Callithrix jacchus: one gene and its partner. The protein of the gene in region 1 binds, or shares a complex with, the protein of each later gene. Links are inferred from orthologs where the notes say so. Each region holds a gene or a part of one and is shown on either strand. Other genes may lie near its edges. The genes, in order: ARID1A and SMARCA2.

Region 1 (7,164 bases):
TGTTGGATCAGTTTGTGGCTGAGCTCAGGGAGGCGTGGCAGGGAGGGACTTACTCCAAACCTTCTAAACCAGAAGAGGAAAACAGCTGTCACCAGCAGAAAAGAAAGTGATTGGAATGAAGCCAGCCAACAGTCAGTTATGAATTCCTTCTCCCTTTAGGCTTTATTCCCCTCCCCCACAAAGGAAAACAAAACAAAACAAGACACGTGCGTACTGCCACAAAACTGGCATGAGAAGCAAAGCCACAAAAGGCTTCTGAGGTGGCTCCATGTATATTCCTGCCATTCTGCCTGATACTCAGATCGCATAGTCAAGCCTTCCCTGCCTATAGGGAAAGGGAGCATTGAGTTAGTTTCACTCACTTTTCATTGGGTGGGCTTCAGGGTTCACTGAACCTAGGAAGAGTTACAGAGAGAATCCTGATGCCTGAGCCTGTCTTCCAAATTGCATAAGGATGCAAACCTTTAAAATGCCATGATTATAATCAAACTTTTATAAAAACAGTGATAAATCAGTGGCAAAAGCGTATTATTTATAAGTTAGTTTGTGAAGACTCCCAGAAAGCAAAGATGAATCTTCAGCTTATCTAAAGGATTAGTAGGGTTTAGGTGGAAGGAGTGGCCAACCCAGTAGACTGGCCAGATGACATAGAGATGGGAGTCTGGATATTTCCCCCAAGGCCATCTCCAACCATGAAGACTTAGCTCACCCACTCTAGAAAGTATTCCTATGCACCTCTGCCCCATCTAGGTTGTCCCCCTCTGTGGCTCTCTAAACTCCTCTCTGGTATCATGGGTACCATATCAGCAGACATTTTAACCTATTGAACTTCCTTTGTGTATAGGGACTGGAAAATCCTTGTTCCCAGGCCTTGGGACAGGCTTACCATATGGTAAATGAATAAGCATAAGAATACATGAAGAAGAAGACCTGTCCAGCTAGAGCAGAAAGACTAATTGTAAGGAGCATCTAGGAAATGGGCTTGGTCAGTGTGCCCTGAAGCTGAGGGAAGGAGGCAAAACTGTAGGTTGGCTGCTGGGGAGGTACAAAAGTCATAAGGCGGCCCTGGGCGGGGTGCAGTGGCTCACACCTGTAATCCTAGCACTTTGGGAGGCCGAGATGGTTGAATCACCTGAGGTCAGGATTTAAGACCAGCCTGACCAACATGGCAAAACCCTGTCTCTACTAAAAATACAAAAATTAGTGGGGCGTGGTAAACCAGGCGCCTATAGTCCCACTACTTGGGAGGCTGAGGCAGGGGGATCACTTGAACCCAGGAGGCAGAGGTTGCAGTGAGCCAAAATGGCACCACTACACTCCAGCCTGGATGACAAAGTGAGACTCTTTAAATAAATAAATAAGGCGCTGAACATCTGGACAATTAGGACAGTGACTGATGAGGTAAAGGGACCTGTGGTTGTTTGTCACTGAGATATGTAGGAGAGCAGTGGCACAAGAATGTCAAATTTGCAGAGAGTGCCATGCCAAGAAAAAAAATCAGATGTGTAAATCCCCAGTTTGACAAAGCAAGTCAAGCAGGGTAGTCATTGATACTATCACAAGTCTCCATTTTATAAAATGTTAGTTTTTAGTAGTACATTTAAAATAGGATTTAGGGCCAGGTGCAGTGGCTCAAGCTTGTAATCCCAGCACTTTGAGAGTCTGAGGAGGGCAGATGACTTGAGGTGAGGAGGGCAGATCACTTGAGGCCAGGAGTTTGAGACCAGCCTGGCCAACATGGTGAAATGCTGTCTCTACTAAAAATACAAAAATTAGCCAGGTGTGGTGGTGCACTCCTGTAATCCCAGCTACTTGGGAGGCTGAGGTAAGAGTATCGCTTGAGCCCGGGAGGCAGAAATTGCAGCAAGTTAAGCTCGTGCCACTGCATTCCAGCCTAGGCGACAGAGCGAGATTTATTTTTTCTGTCTCAGAAAAAGTAGGGTTTAAATAGGCAGATGATTTGTACACCATTTTTCGGCAGTATACTAAAAAACTGGATTTAACACTTGTTGTGAACTATCCACCAAGCAAGATTAACTTTTGTAATTACCTAAGAACTGTGATTCTACAAAAATGAATTACCTTGCAGCCTGATAGGGCTTGTGGCTTATGGACAGGAAAACCAGGCAGGAGATATACCCCGACTCTTGTGGTTTGGTTATACAGGTCAACAAGAACAAAAAATGGCGGGAACTTGCAACAAACCTCAATGTGGGCACATCAAGCAGTGCTGCCAGCTCCTTGAAAAAGCAGTATATCCAGTGTCTCTATGCCTTTGAGTGCAAGATTGAACGGGGAGAAGATCCTCCCCCAGACATCTTTGCAGCTGCCGATTCCAAGAAGTCCCAGCCCAAGATCCAGCCTCCCTCTCCTGGTAAGGATGGGGTCAGCAGCCCCACTAAGGCTGAGAGGGCCTACTGCACCTGCCTCCAGCAGGATATGCCAAGGATCTGTGCTCTTGCCCTACCACAGGTCTTAACAGGTTGGCTGAATAGAGAGTGGGCAGTGGAAACTTCCCTGGGAGGTACTCTTCAGCAGCCCTTAAATTTTAATTTTTGTTGTGCACCTGGCAACTTGCCAAATGTTTGTAAACTGGTGAATGGGAGGGGCACAAGAAGAGTGGGGAAACTGACAAATGGCAGCAAAGCAGGGCCATCTGGAAGCTTTGGCCCATTGATGTCAGCACCTTAGAATGCAGCTCACACTAGAGCCCTGAATTCCCCAGGGAGCTGAGATAGTAATGAATGAGGAGGGAGTGGGGAAGGGATATGAATGGAACTCTCTGATGGGAGTGCCTCTGCCTACCCTCCATTCTGAGAGGAGGCTGAGACCTAGGGCGAGCCTGGGGAGGAAAGAAGGCCAGGGTGCCTGGAAGGTGGGTGTAAACACATGTGCCCTGGTGTTGACCTCTGAGGGTGTAATGAGTGCCTGAGATGACTCATCAGCTGGGGAGGCCTCAGCAGTGGGATATCTACTGCTGGGAATGGTAACTATTGGAAACATTAAATTACTAGTAGTTTTGTGCTTATCAGCTTAGAAGAACATTTGAACTTGAGGGATGACACTATGCTGGATGCTTTAGAACAGGAGCTCTCCTAGGCTCCTAAAATGCATCCCAGATTTGGATTCCACCCTACCCAGGATTTGGGAGGTTCTGACTGGAGCTCCTGCACCAGCATTACAGGATTTAATAGGTTAGACAAGGTCCTTGGAGAAGTGAAGAGAAATAGCCAGGGAAGCTGGCAGTGACTCAAGGAATCACCAGCATAGTGATGTCATGGCCGCATCACTTCTCTTCTCTACATGTAAAACAAAAAGAGCTACAAAACCCTCAAATTTCCTTCTTTATGACCTGGATATTGCAGATCTTCTGATAAGAATGGTGATCACGCTTGAAAGGCCTTAGGAAGAACTTTCTCAAAGAGATTCTGGGTCATTCATGTGTTTTTGTGAGAGTTAAACACTTCCATACCAAGCAAACTGCTCAACTTGCTTCTCTGTCCACAGCGGGATCAGGATCTATGCAGGGGCCCCAGACTCCTCAGTCAACCAGCAGTTCCATGGCAGAAGGAGGAGACTTAAAGCCACCAACTCCAGCATCCACACCACACAGTCAGATCCCTCCCTTGCCAGGCATGAGGTAAGGCCAAGAGCAGAGGTGGATGGTTGAGGGGATGGTTGGAGATAAGTGCATGGGAACTCCTTTGCAGCCCAAGGGTGGTCCCTGCCTCTGCCTTCTCAGCCAGTGACTCCTGCGTGTCCTGTGTTATATTGGAGGAATTGGTCTATCTGGGGTTTAATTGATTTTCCTCACTCTGGAGCAGGAGCAATTCGGTTGGGATCCAGGATGCCTTTAATGATGGAAGTGACTCCACATTCCAGAAGCGGAATTCCATGACTCCAAACCCTGGGTATCAGCCCAGTATGAATACCTCTGACATGATGGGGCGCATGTCCTATGAGCCAAATAAGGATCCTTATGGCAGCATGAGGAAAGGTGACTGATCTGATTGCTATTGAACTTGTACTCTTAAAGACAGGGCCAGTGAAATGGGGGAAAATCTTGAGTGATTCAGGGTTCTTGTGGAGCCAATCTCTGAGATAATGCATTTCCTGTCCTAACTACCCCTCTTCATCCCTACCTCCTTTGTCTCTTCCCTGGCCTCACCTTGACATCCCTTAACAAGTACATGCTTTTTGCTGGTTGGGGCATCTTTAGAACTCTGTTTTGAACTTGTCTGGAAAACAGTGAGATCAAACCTGAACTCTGAAAAGGGCCTGGGTCTTTGGAGCAGGCAAAGTGTAGATTACTAGGCTTGCCAACTTGCCAGTTTGTTCACTGCCTGCCTTTATACACTCAGCTCCAGGGAGTGATCCCTTCATGTCCTCAGGGCAGGGCCCCAACGGCGGGATGGGTGACCCCTACAGCCGTGCTGCCGGCCCTGGTCTTGGAAATGTGGCAATGGGACCACGACAGCACTATCCCTATGGAGGTCCTTATGACAGAGTGAGGTAAGCATGGCACCAGCTCCTATCCATCCCCCAGCACCCAGAGCTATAGTGGGCTCAATCCACCTCTCCAATTTTCTTTAGGACGGAGCCTGGAATAGGGCCTGAGGGAAACATGGGCACTGGGGCCCCACAACCGAATCTCATGCCTTCTAACCCAGACTCGGGGATGTATTCTCCTAGCCGCTACCCCCCACAGCAGCAGCAGCAGCAGCAACGGTGAGTAAAGCCTGCTCCCAGTGCTGCTGTGACTCAGACTTTGCCACTGCCCACCCTGATCATGTGTTTCTTTGCCTCCTGTAGACATGATTCCTATGGCAATCAGTTTTCCACCCAAGGCACCCCTTCTGGCAGCCCCTTCCCCAGCCAACAGACCACAATGTATCCACAGCAGCAGCAGGTGAGGAGGGTAGCTGGGAATGGACTAGCATGTAGATTCCCTTTGAAAGATAGTTACTAATGTGTTAAAGTCTAAGAAGCTCACTTTAAGTATTTTGGCATTCTTCTCTCACCTGACTGGCCATTTGGGCCCAAAGAGCCAAGTCCTCGATCTCTTCTGTTTGGAGCTGGAAAGGGCTAGAAATAGATCTTATTTTGATTTTTAGGTTTTATATATTTTTCTACTTAGAGCAAGGGAGGGGAAGAAAGAGTGGTGGTTGCTTTTGGAAACAACTTAAAAAGACAGTTTGTTAAGGTGATTCCTTTGTTTCCTTGGAGTCTGTGTCCACCATTCATTTGGTTGTAGCCATCTTGGCATCTGTGGGCTTTATGTCTCTGAGTGCAGAGCATTAACTTGTCCTCTGCTTCTCTCTGCCTTAGAATTACAAGCGGCCAATGGATGGCACATATGGCCCTCCTGCTAAGCGGCATGAAGGGGAGATGTACAGTGTGCCATACAGCACTGGGCAGGGGCAGCCTCAGCAGCAGCAGTTGCCCCCAGCCCAGCCCCAGCCTGCCAGCCAGCAACAAGCTGCCCAGCCTTCCCCTCAGCAAGATGTATACAACCAGTATGGCAATGCCTATCCTGCCACTGCCACTGCTGCTACTGAGCGCCGACCAGCAGGCGGCCCCCAGAACCAATTTCCATTCCAGTTTGGCCGAGACCGTGTCTCTGCACCCCCTGGCACCAGTGCCCAGCAAAACATGCCACCGCAAATGATGGGCGGCCCCATACAGGCATCAGCTGAGGTTGCTCAGCAAGGCACTATGTGGCAGGGGCGTAATGACATGACCTATAATTATGCCAACAGGCAGAGCACGGGCTCTGCCCCCCAGGGCCCCGCCTATCATGGCGTGAACCGAACAGATGAAATGCTGCACACAGATCAGAGGGCCAATCATGAAGGCCCATGGCCTTCGCATGGCACACGCCAGCCCCCATATGGTTCCTCTGCTCCCGTGCCCCCCATGACAAGGCCCCCTCCATCTAACTACCAGCCCCCACCAAGCATGCAGAATCACATTCCTCAGGTATCAAGCCCTGCTCCCCTGCCCCGGCCAATGGAGAACCGTACCTCTCCTAGCAAGTCTCCATTCCTGCACTCTGGGATGAAAATGCAGAAGGCAGGTCCCCCAGTGCCTGCCTCACACATAGCACCTGCCCCTGTGCAGCCCCCCATGATTCGGCGGGATATCACCTTCCCACCTGGCTCTGTTGAAGCCACACAGCCTGTGTTGAAGCAGAGGAGGCGGCTCACAATGAAAGACATTGGTAAGGAGACCTCCCTGATTGGGTTGCCTAATCTGCCCCTTTTTGTCTTGTCCATTGTTCCCTCCACCTTAATATTCTGGTCCAGTGTTGACAAAAATAGAACCAAAGAACTTTGGAAAAGGAAGAAATAAGCCAACTAAAGGTTTTCCTTCAAAACATTGCCATACAATGACGTCCTAGACAGATAGTTTAGAAGCCACGAGGGGCTGGTATGTGTCATCTCCCAGACAGGAACTGCCTTCCACTTTGTGTTAATCTTCAGAGTAGCCTGACTGATGGGGCAGCCCTGGGGGTGCCTTCAGCCAGCCTGGGCTTGGTGGATGGACGACATGGAGGTTTATTTCAGGAACCCCGGAGGCATGGCGGGTAATGATGTCCCTCAAGTCTGGTCTCCTGGCTGAGAGCACATGGGCATTAGATACCATTAACATCTTGCTATATGATGACAACAGCATCATGACCTTCAACCTCAGTCAGGTGAGTACCAGTGCTTCGGGAAGATTGAGAGCATTTGGGATCTTAGTGTAAACAATGGGAATGTGTCATCCTTAGCCACCTTGATATTTCTCTCTCGTAGGTATCTTCCGTGCCAGTACTTTGCTTCCTTTGCTTCTGGGCACAGGCCCAGGATCTTGAGAATAATGATAATTTGTTTTAGGTATCATTACGTTGATGCTTTAACAAAGGATTGACTTCAAAGGGAATTTGGGAGACACTTTGTAGTATTAGTAAGAAAGCAGATTCTATTGATGCCAGTGGGGACACCATATTTTCTAGAAGAATCTGGTGGGGTTTTTTTTGTTTTTTTTTTTTTAATCGAGATGAGGTCTCACTATGTTGCCCAGGCTCATGAACTCCTGAGTTGAAGTGATCCTCCCAAAGGGCTAGGATTATAGGCATGAGCCACCAGGCCCGGCCTGAATCTGTGGTCTTTTTATCAGTGA
Region 2 (7,164 bases), on another chromosome or scaffold:
TATATATAAATGTGGAAAAGCAAAAAATAGACCCTGTTTTCTTCATTCCATATGCACATCTGTGAACTGTATTTGGTTGTAAAGTTTTGTCATGTACATCATGTACTAAACCGTGAGAGTTAATCATCCCAAGAAGATTACTGTAATAAACCATAATTACTTTCAGATAGTGAAATCCAGAAGAAAATTGTTAATTATCATATTGCAAGGTTTCTGATGAGAGTAATACAAATGACAAATACCGCACATTCTGTGTGCTGCTGACTGGCTCACTGTGGGCTGCTACTGTGCCGACTGCTCCTGCACAGCCAGGCGGTTACCCGGGTGCCCGGCCTGCCTGCTCCACTTTCCCAGTAGAAGTGGAGCCTTTTAGCAGAGCAGCGGGTTCTCTACTACCACAAAGTCACTGTCATTTCCATTTCTCTTTGCCTTCCCTCTGTCTTTGGTAGGAAAAGCTTTCTAAAAAAGATCTGAAAAGGGTCAAGATGTGTGCAGTTTACCCAAGACTTTCTCGTATATAATAGATCAGTCTATGAGAATGTGTGCTATACATTATTCAGTCACATGTCTGGTATCATTAAGCTATGAATAGTGAGAAAAAAATGCACATCTACGTCCATTGGATCATGCATATATCTTTTTCTTTCCTTTAGGGTACTCCTGCCATGCGTCGCTCCCTTGTCCCCCAGCTACGGAGTGGCAAATTCAATGTCCTCTTGACTACTTATGAGTATATTATAAAAGACAAGCACATTCTTGCAAAGGTATGTTTTAAAAAAACTATTTTGTCTTTAATATGGACCATCACACTGAAATGTGAAGTATTGCCCACATCAGTAGTATAATTGTCCCTTTCTTTATTTTTTCAGAGTTTCGTATATTTTGGTCATAGATTTGATTTCATGCATGCTGTGTGTGTGTGTGTGTGTGTGTGTGTGTGTGTGTGTGTGTGTATGATTGATCCTGGGGCAGCTCCTACGTATCCTTTCCTAGTTAATGAGTTTACATCTCTTTAAAAAAATTCATCTGGTTCCTTCTTCAACTCTTTCTCTCCAACAGCTTTGAACATGCTCTGGAAAGAAAGAATTGCTTTTGTTGCCCTGAGATATTGTCAGTAACTTCATTCCTCTTGTGCCTTTGTCTCTCCGAAGATGAGCCAGGCACCTCTCCATATGGTCTCTACCATATGAACATTTATCCAAGCCGTGGCTTTTGTGGTAGCATTGTTTCAGGTTTTTCCTGGTGAAATAATAGACTATCATTGTTGGAATTTCTCAAGGCTGTTTCTGTGACTATTTATTTGGAACTGAGAAAGAGGTGTTTCTGTGACTAATATGTCTCCTAATTTGAATGTCCTCAGTTGTCCTTTAGCCACAAAGTAGTAACTTTTCTCCTCATTTATATCATCTTGTCTTCTAATACGTTCGTGTAGAATGATGGAAAGTACCGTCTTTCATGGAACAAATAATGAAAACTCAATTTTTTTTCTCTAGTAATTTTTTTTACCCCATGGTGTTTTGAAAGCACTCTAATCTGAAACTAAGTTATGTCCAAAATTGAACAGAATCTCTATTTCTGGGGTCTGTTCTTTCTCTGCATTAAACTCTTGCTCTGGGAACTGAGAGTTCCCTTCATGGCATCATAGGAAATAACAAAAAGGAAATTTGCTCCCAGGGGAGGTTTAATAATTGAGATGGCACTGGCAACAGTGCTATGTTCCACCTCCTCACACTCAGAGAGGAATTTGGCAGTGTCAGAAATGATGTGTTTTCAATATTACTATGGGAATGTGTTTGTACATTTGGGATCCTTTTTAAAAAATTCGTATTGTGTCTTTTGCATATGTATTTCAAGATTCATTGGAGACGCCTGATAACGAGATGCACTGCTTTTGTTTGTTACCGGAGAAATGGAGCTAGGGAAAGGGGTAGTAATTTTTTCCAAGTGGAAGACCTAATTAGTAGTAGACCCAATAGAAAAATCAAAGGCCTCTGATTCCTTATTATTTTGTAAGCTAAATTAGGCAGGAAAGTAGATTTAGAAGATTTGTATATGTTTTGTCTGCTTGCCTCTTTTCATGCTATTGGTAAGTTTGAGGTAGTTGATTGTACAGCTTTAATTATCCTTAAACACTTTTCTTAGAGGTTGTGGAGGAAGGAAAAAAAAATGGGGTAGTTTTTTTTTTTTAAACCTGTACATCCCAGCCTGACTGATTTTATACCTTTTCCCCTGGCATATCTGCTGCTTCTAATGAGGAAGACAAGGACTGTATAGAATACTTTCCTCATCTCACTTCTCTCTCTAGGAGCTTTGCAGCAGGATCTGGGGACATCTGAGCACCAGATGTTTTTCTTGGCCATTGCCACTGTTTTGTAGAGAATGGATAGGCTTAGTGGAACATTCCTCATTGTTCTCACCTTAAAAAACTGACTCTTAAGAGGACTGAAGGGTAAGTTATGAGAGAGGAAGGGAACTGTGTAGACGGGAAGGAGGACTGGGCCATGTAAGCTTTCTAGATGTTTTAAGCGATAGTCACGTTGGGGAAGTTTGCTGTATTTAATTCTGCAGTTTTGGCATAAATAGAGGAATTATATTTTTGTATTGCCCTTTCTGCCAGTGAATAGATCCTTTTATTTTAGATAAAACAGGGGTCCTAGATCTGACAGGTAAGGAATGTGCATGGATTGAGGGAGTTTGGTTGTCAGAACTAATTTTTGAAAAGCTGTATGTATAGATTTTATGTGAAATAGTCCAACTTTTAAATGTTAGCAACCAGTCCAAACAAAACAAAACACACTTCTGAGCCAAGCCCTAAAGGTAGTAACCAGCCAGGCTAATAGAAAAGAAGGCATGGAGCCAAGAATATCTCAGTTATAGAACCTGCTAGGGCCATCTTGGAAAAATCGGTCATTAACTTCTGCTTCAAGTGGGTACCTGTATTCTGTGCCTGTTGTGAGCAGAGGTAGCATGACCATGAAATGTGGGATAGCTGTCATGATACAGTATTAATAGAAGGGGCGTTGGATGAGGAGATGCACAATCCACATGTAGGAACAAGCATATCATCCTGGGCCCAAATTTCCTTCTTTGTAAGAAGTTGATTTGGAATTACATGGTCGGTAAGGAACATTGTTGCTTCAACACTGTTATTACAGGATGTCTTATGTGGCCTATCAGGCATGGGACATTGTTGAGATTCTCTTGTCTTAAAGATAATCATAGCATATCATGTACCAAGGATGGGTTCTTTGGTTTTCCACACCACCACTTGCCTGTGGGAAATAGTTGTTATTTTCCCTTGCTTATCACATGTCCATCCTTTCTCTTGTGTTACAGATTCGGTGGAAATACATGATAGTGGATGAAGGCCACCGAATGAAGAATCACCACTGCAAGCTGACTCAGGTCTTGAACACTCACTACGTGGCCCCCAGAAGGATCCTCTTGACTGGGACCCCGCTGCAGAATAAACTCCCTGAACTCTGGGCCCTCCTCAACTTCCTCCTCCCCACAATTTTTAAGAGCTGCAGCACTTTCGAACAATGGTTTAATGCTCCATTTGCCATGACTGGTGAAAGGGTACTGGTCTGACTTTTGTTTTTTCCACTATTTTCCACTACATGACAATGAAATGAAATGAAAGGCCCTAAAGCTGAGAACATTACAGCCACAGAACACCTGCAGGGTGGTTGACAGTGTTGCATAGTTTATGAAACCCATCAATGGGTGGACGTGGTCTTCTGTCAGGGTTATTTTCCCCTCCTGGGAAAATGGGTCTAGTGGTACTGGGGGCATCTAACCCCTTTGTCTTTTGCCAGCATGTTTACCAGGCTACCAGAAAAGGGTCCTGACCGGTGGAATGCTTAACTGCAGTGGGTCACAGGGAGGGATGAACATGGAGATATTTTGCTGAATTAATTTAAGCAGACCAAATTAACCAACTAAATACAAGCTTTAAAACAAATCTTTCCTTGTTATAAGCTTGGAAGTTCCCTTTAAAATATTTCCACATAAAGAGTTTGTGTGTAAAACAGAACTAGTTTTCACTAATTTTCTGCAGACCTTTTTTCTATTTCTTTTTTTTAGGTTTTAGTGTGAGTTTCAGTTTTGTGTGTAAATAAAAAGTCTTCCTGGAGTAGCCATTTGTTTTCAAATTTCTTACCGTTCCTTCCACTGTCTTAAGAGCTCATTTGTGAAAGCAAGACATGGGCCATTGCAAGAAAAGAAATGGGCACATGTCATTTTCATAGAGGTTCCTCATTCGTAGGAATGAAAGGCCACTAAAAATGCTTTAGCAAAATTTTGGTTTGAATTGTTTGGCCCTTTAATTTTGAGGCACCTGGGCCCCCTGTCAATAGTTAACTCACTGGCTTGCCAATTTGTAGAAAGTAGTCTCAATCAACTCTGCCCCCTAGAGGTTAGTAGGAGAAGGTGAAAGAGAAAGCTGGGAAATCTATAAAAAGGACTAAAGTTGAACTAGAGAGGGCTGAGAAAAGGAAAGGAGTGAAGTTAGAGGGACTTACAGGGCCACCAACATAAACTGGATAGACTCTACTTTTGATCCTCTTCTTTATATGTTCAAACCTCTGTTCCTTTAGTATTTTTCTGTGACTGAAACAACCAAGATGAAGAGCCTAATTTAAGGCTGCCCCTTTAAATCGGAAACATATCAACTTATTGCCCCCCTTCTCTCATTCTGTCACCTTCATCATCAGTGATACCACATACAATGTGGGGCTGTTGACACCACTGATAGAAAACTGGTAGCTTCTGGGCTCTTTTCCACAGAACTCAGCATTAAGACAAAGACACCTATTTAGAGGTAATTTTATTACTGCTTGGTAGGCAGGTGGAAAGGTAATTCAGAGGTGGGTATAACAGACATAAACCTGGATTTAATGCATGTAAAATTTCAATCATGTATTGAAACACATAAATGTAACATAAAGCTTTATGGTATGAAATGTCCTTTTTTTTTTTATCCTTTTCTTAAAAAAATCAAATTTATATAAGCCTCTCTTATAGGTGGACTTAAATGAAGAAGAAACTATATTGATCATCAGACGTCTGCATAAGGTATTAAGACCATTTTTACTAAGGAGACTGAAGAAAGAAGTTGAATCCCAGCTTCCAGAAAAAGTATGTGGCACAATCAAAAGTTGTGAGGTTTTTTTTTCTCCAGCAAATACATTTGAAGTATCTGCCTCCGAAATTGTGTTTCTTAAACAGCAGGCTCATATTGTGGTTATAAGTGTCTTGAAAATATCTTAAAGTGCTTTTTTGTTTGGTAGGGCTAGAGAGAGAAGGGAAATTATAGCATTTTCAGCCTGTTTTACAAAAACTTGCGAGCCGATTTTATAAAATTATCAAATTCATTGAGTCTCATTTATGTTTTAATTTTAGATTTTTTTTTTTTAAGTTACTGACCTCATTGAGTTCACTGTTGCAGGCACTGTAGAATTGTTCTGCTTATAAGTGAAAGGAAGATTTGACTTTGGGACTTGTATCATCATTCAAGGGTGTGGTAAACATTTGCAGGTTTTCTAGAAATTTATTTAACATTTGATGTTTGTGATGTCACCATTCTGACAGTAAGTGCAAAAATAGAATTCCTGTAAATTACAGACACATCATGTAATTGTTCAGGGTCATTGGTTTTGTTCTGTGCCATAAAAATTAAGTTCCTGCGAACATTTTAAGCCAGTGTTTTTCAGACTGACTGTTGGAAACTTAGTTTGCAGTACTTTAGAACCCCTTTTGAGCCCTTAGCTCCATATTTTGGGGTTGGATTTGAGTATTAGTTTACTATGTTTCTGATCATGTTTTGGAACCATGCATATTTAAATTCTAAGTTTCATTCTCTTAAAGATAGTTTAGCACTGTATACTATTTGTTGCATGAGATATTTTGCTTTGAGTTTTTTCTTTGGAAGAGCCAATTCTGAAATGTCTTTTTTTTGCATGATTGTGGTTTTTCTGGGTAATGACTCTATTTTTGGACAGATTGGTTCATCCTGTTCATTTGTAAGTGGGAGTTGTCAAGATGGTGTACAAAGTTGATCACTTTGTTAAGAGAGATTTTTATTCCCTAATCCTTTATGCATTGACAGTCAGGAAAAAAATTAAAAATAAAAATGATTTTCATGCCATGCATATCTCAGTGAAAGTATAAGTATTTAAGTATTTCATTCTGCTGGTGAATGCATTTTGGATGTAGAATGTTGTTGATATTCCCTCTGATTTCCCGTGGTCTTGGCCTCTGGGTAGCACCTTTTCTGTTCATGATGGTGTTTAGTTACTGAGTAGATTAACTGGTGAATGAGCATAATGGTCATGTGGCTGCCTTGAATTACTTCCTAGCATACAGTTACAGTGATTCTGCAAGTGGTAGCGATGAAATGTTAAATCTTTTAATTTATCTCATAATTTTTTTTCTTTAGAAGAGGTATAAAAAATGAAGCCCTTCGTTTATTCATTCCGCAAAACTTCTTGATCTTGTTCATTCATTTCTAAGACTGGCTAATATAGATTTTAAAAAATATATTACAAGTTGAAAGTGTATTTTAAGAAAATCCACTAGATAAAAATTGAAATTTTTGCAGCGTTAGGATTATGAGGTGATTAATTATATCACAAAGGAATTCTTTGCTTTGCAAAAGTATTTATTTTTTGGTTCTTTCTACAAGAGAAATTCCTGAGTTTACTTGAAGGATGATAAACTTAAAAAAAGTATTTACCCTCAAATTGTCAAGAGTATGTCTCCTGCGTAAAATATACATGTACTCATTAACATCAATAGTATTATATTCGAGGTACGTAAAATACTCAGTGTGTGGTATTATCTATGGATACCTTTAGAAGTATCTATACCTTTAAAGGCAGCCATGTTATCTTTTCCTGGAGGAACTTGGTGAAGTGGAAATTATGGGCTCTGCCTGTTAGACTAGGCATGGGTTCTACCACATTCTCCATCTCTGACTATGAGAACTTGGGCAAGGCGTCTAATCCAAATTGATCTTATGTTCTCATCAGTGAACTGGAAGATAAATGACATCTGCCTTATGTTGTGAGGATTAAAGGGATGTAGAGCTCATAATACCTTGCCAGGCATGTAGTAGGCACCCAACCAGTGGCAGCTGCTTCTACCATATTCCTTATTTCCTAC

What was found.
Region 2: ARID1A (region 1) and SMARCA2 share a complex: the UniProt entries of both Homo sapiens proteins name them as parts of the neuron-specific chromatin remodeling complex. The link is inferred for Callithrix jacchus from reciprocal best matches to the Homo sapiens genes ARID1A and SMARCA2.

Annotation. Positions count from the first base shown.
Region 1 is NC_133508.1:63,424,233-63,431,396, forward strand, and holds part of ARID1A (AT-rich interactive domain-containing protein 1A), read left to right. Parts: intron 1-2,166; coding exon 2,167-2,374; intron 2,375-3,507; coding exon 3,508-3,640; intron 3,641-3,821; coding exon 3,822-3,997; intron 3,998-4,361; coding exon 4,362-4,512; intron 4,513-4,593; coding exon 4,594-4,728; intron 4,729-4,812; coding exon 4,813-4,909; intron 4,910-5,328; coding exon 5,329-6,220; intron 6,221-6,566; coding exon 6,567-6,697; intron 6,698-7,164. UniProt on the Homo sapiens protein: Involved in transcriptional activation and repression of select genes by chromatin remodeling (alteration of DNA-nucleosome topology).
Region 2 is NC_133502.1:108,561,391-108,568,554, forward strand, and holds part of SMARCA2 (SWI/SNF-related matrix-associated actin-dependent regulator of chromatin subfamily A member 2), read left to right. Parts: intron 1-653; coding exon 654-764; intron 765-3,336; coding exon 3,337-3,579; intron 3,580-5,025; coding exon 5,026-5,139; intron 5,140-7,164. UniProt on the Homo sapiens protein: ATPase involved in transcriptional activation and repression of select genes by chromatin remodeling (alteration of DNA-nucleosome topology).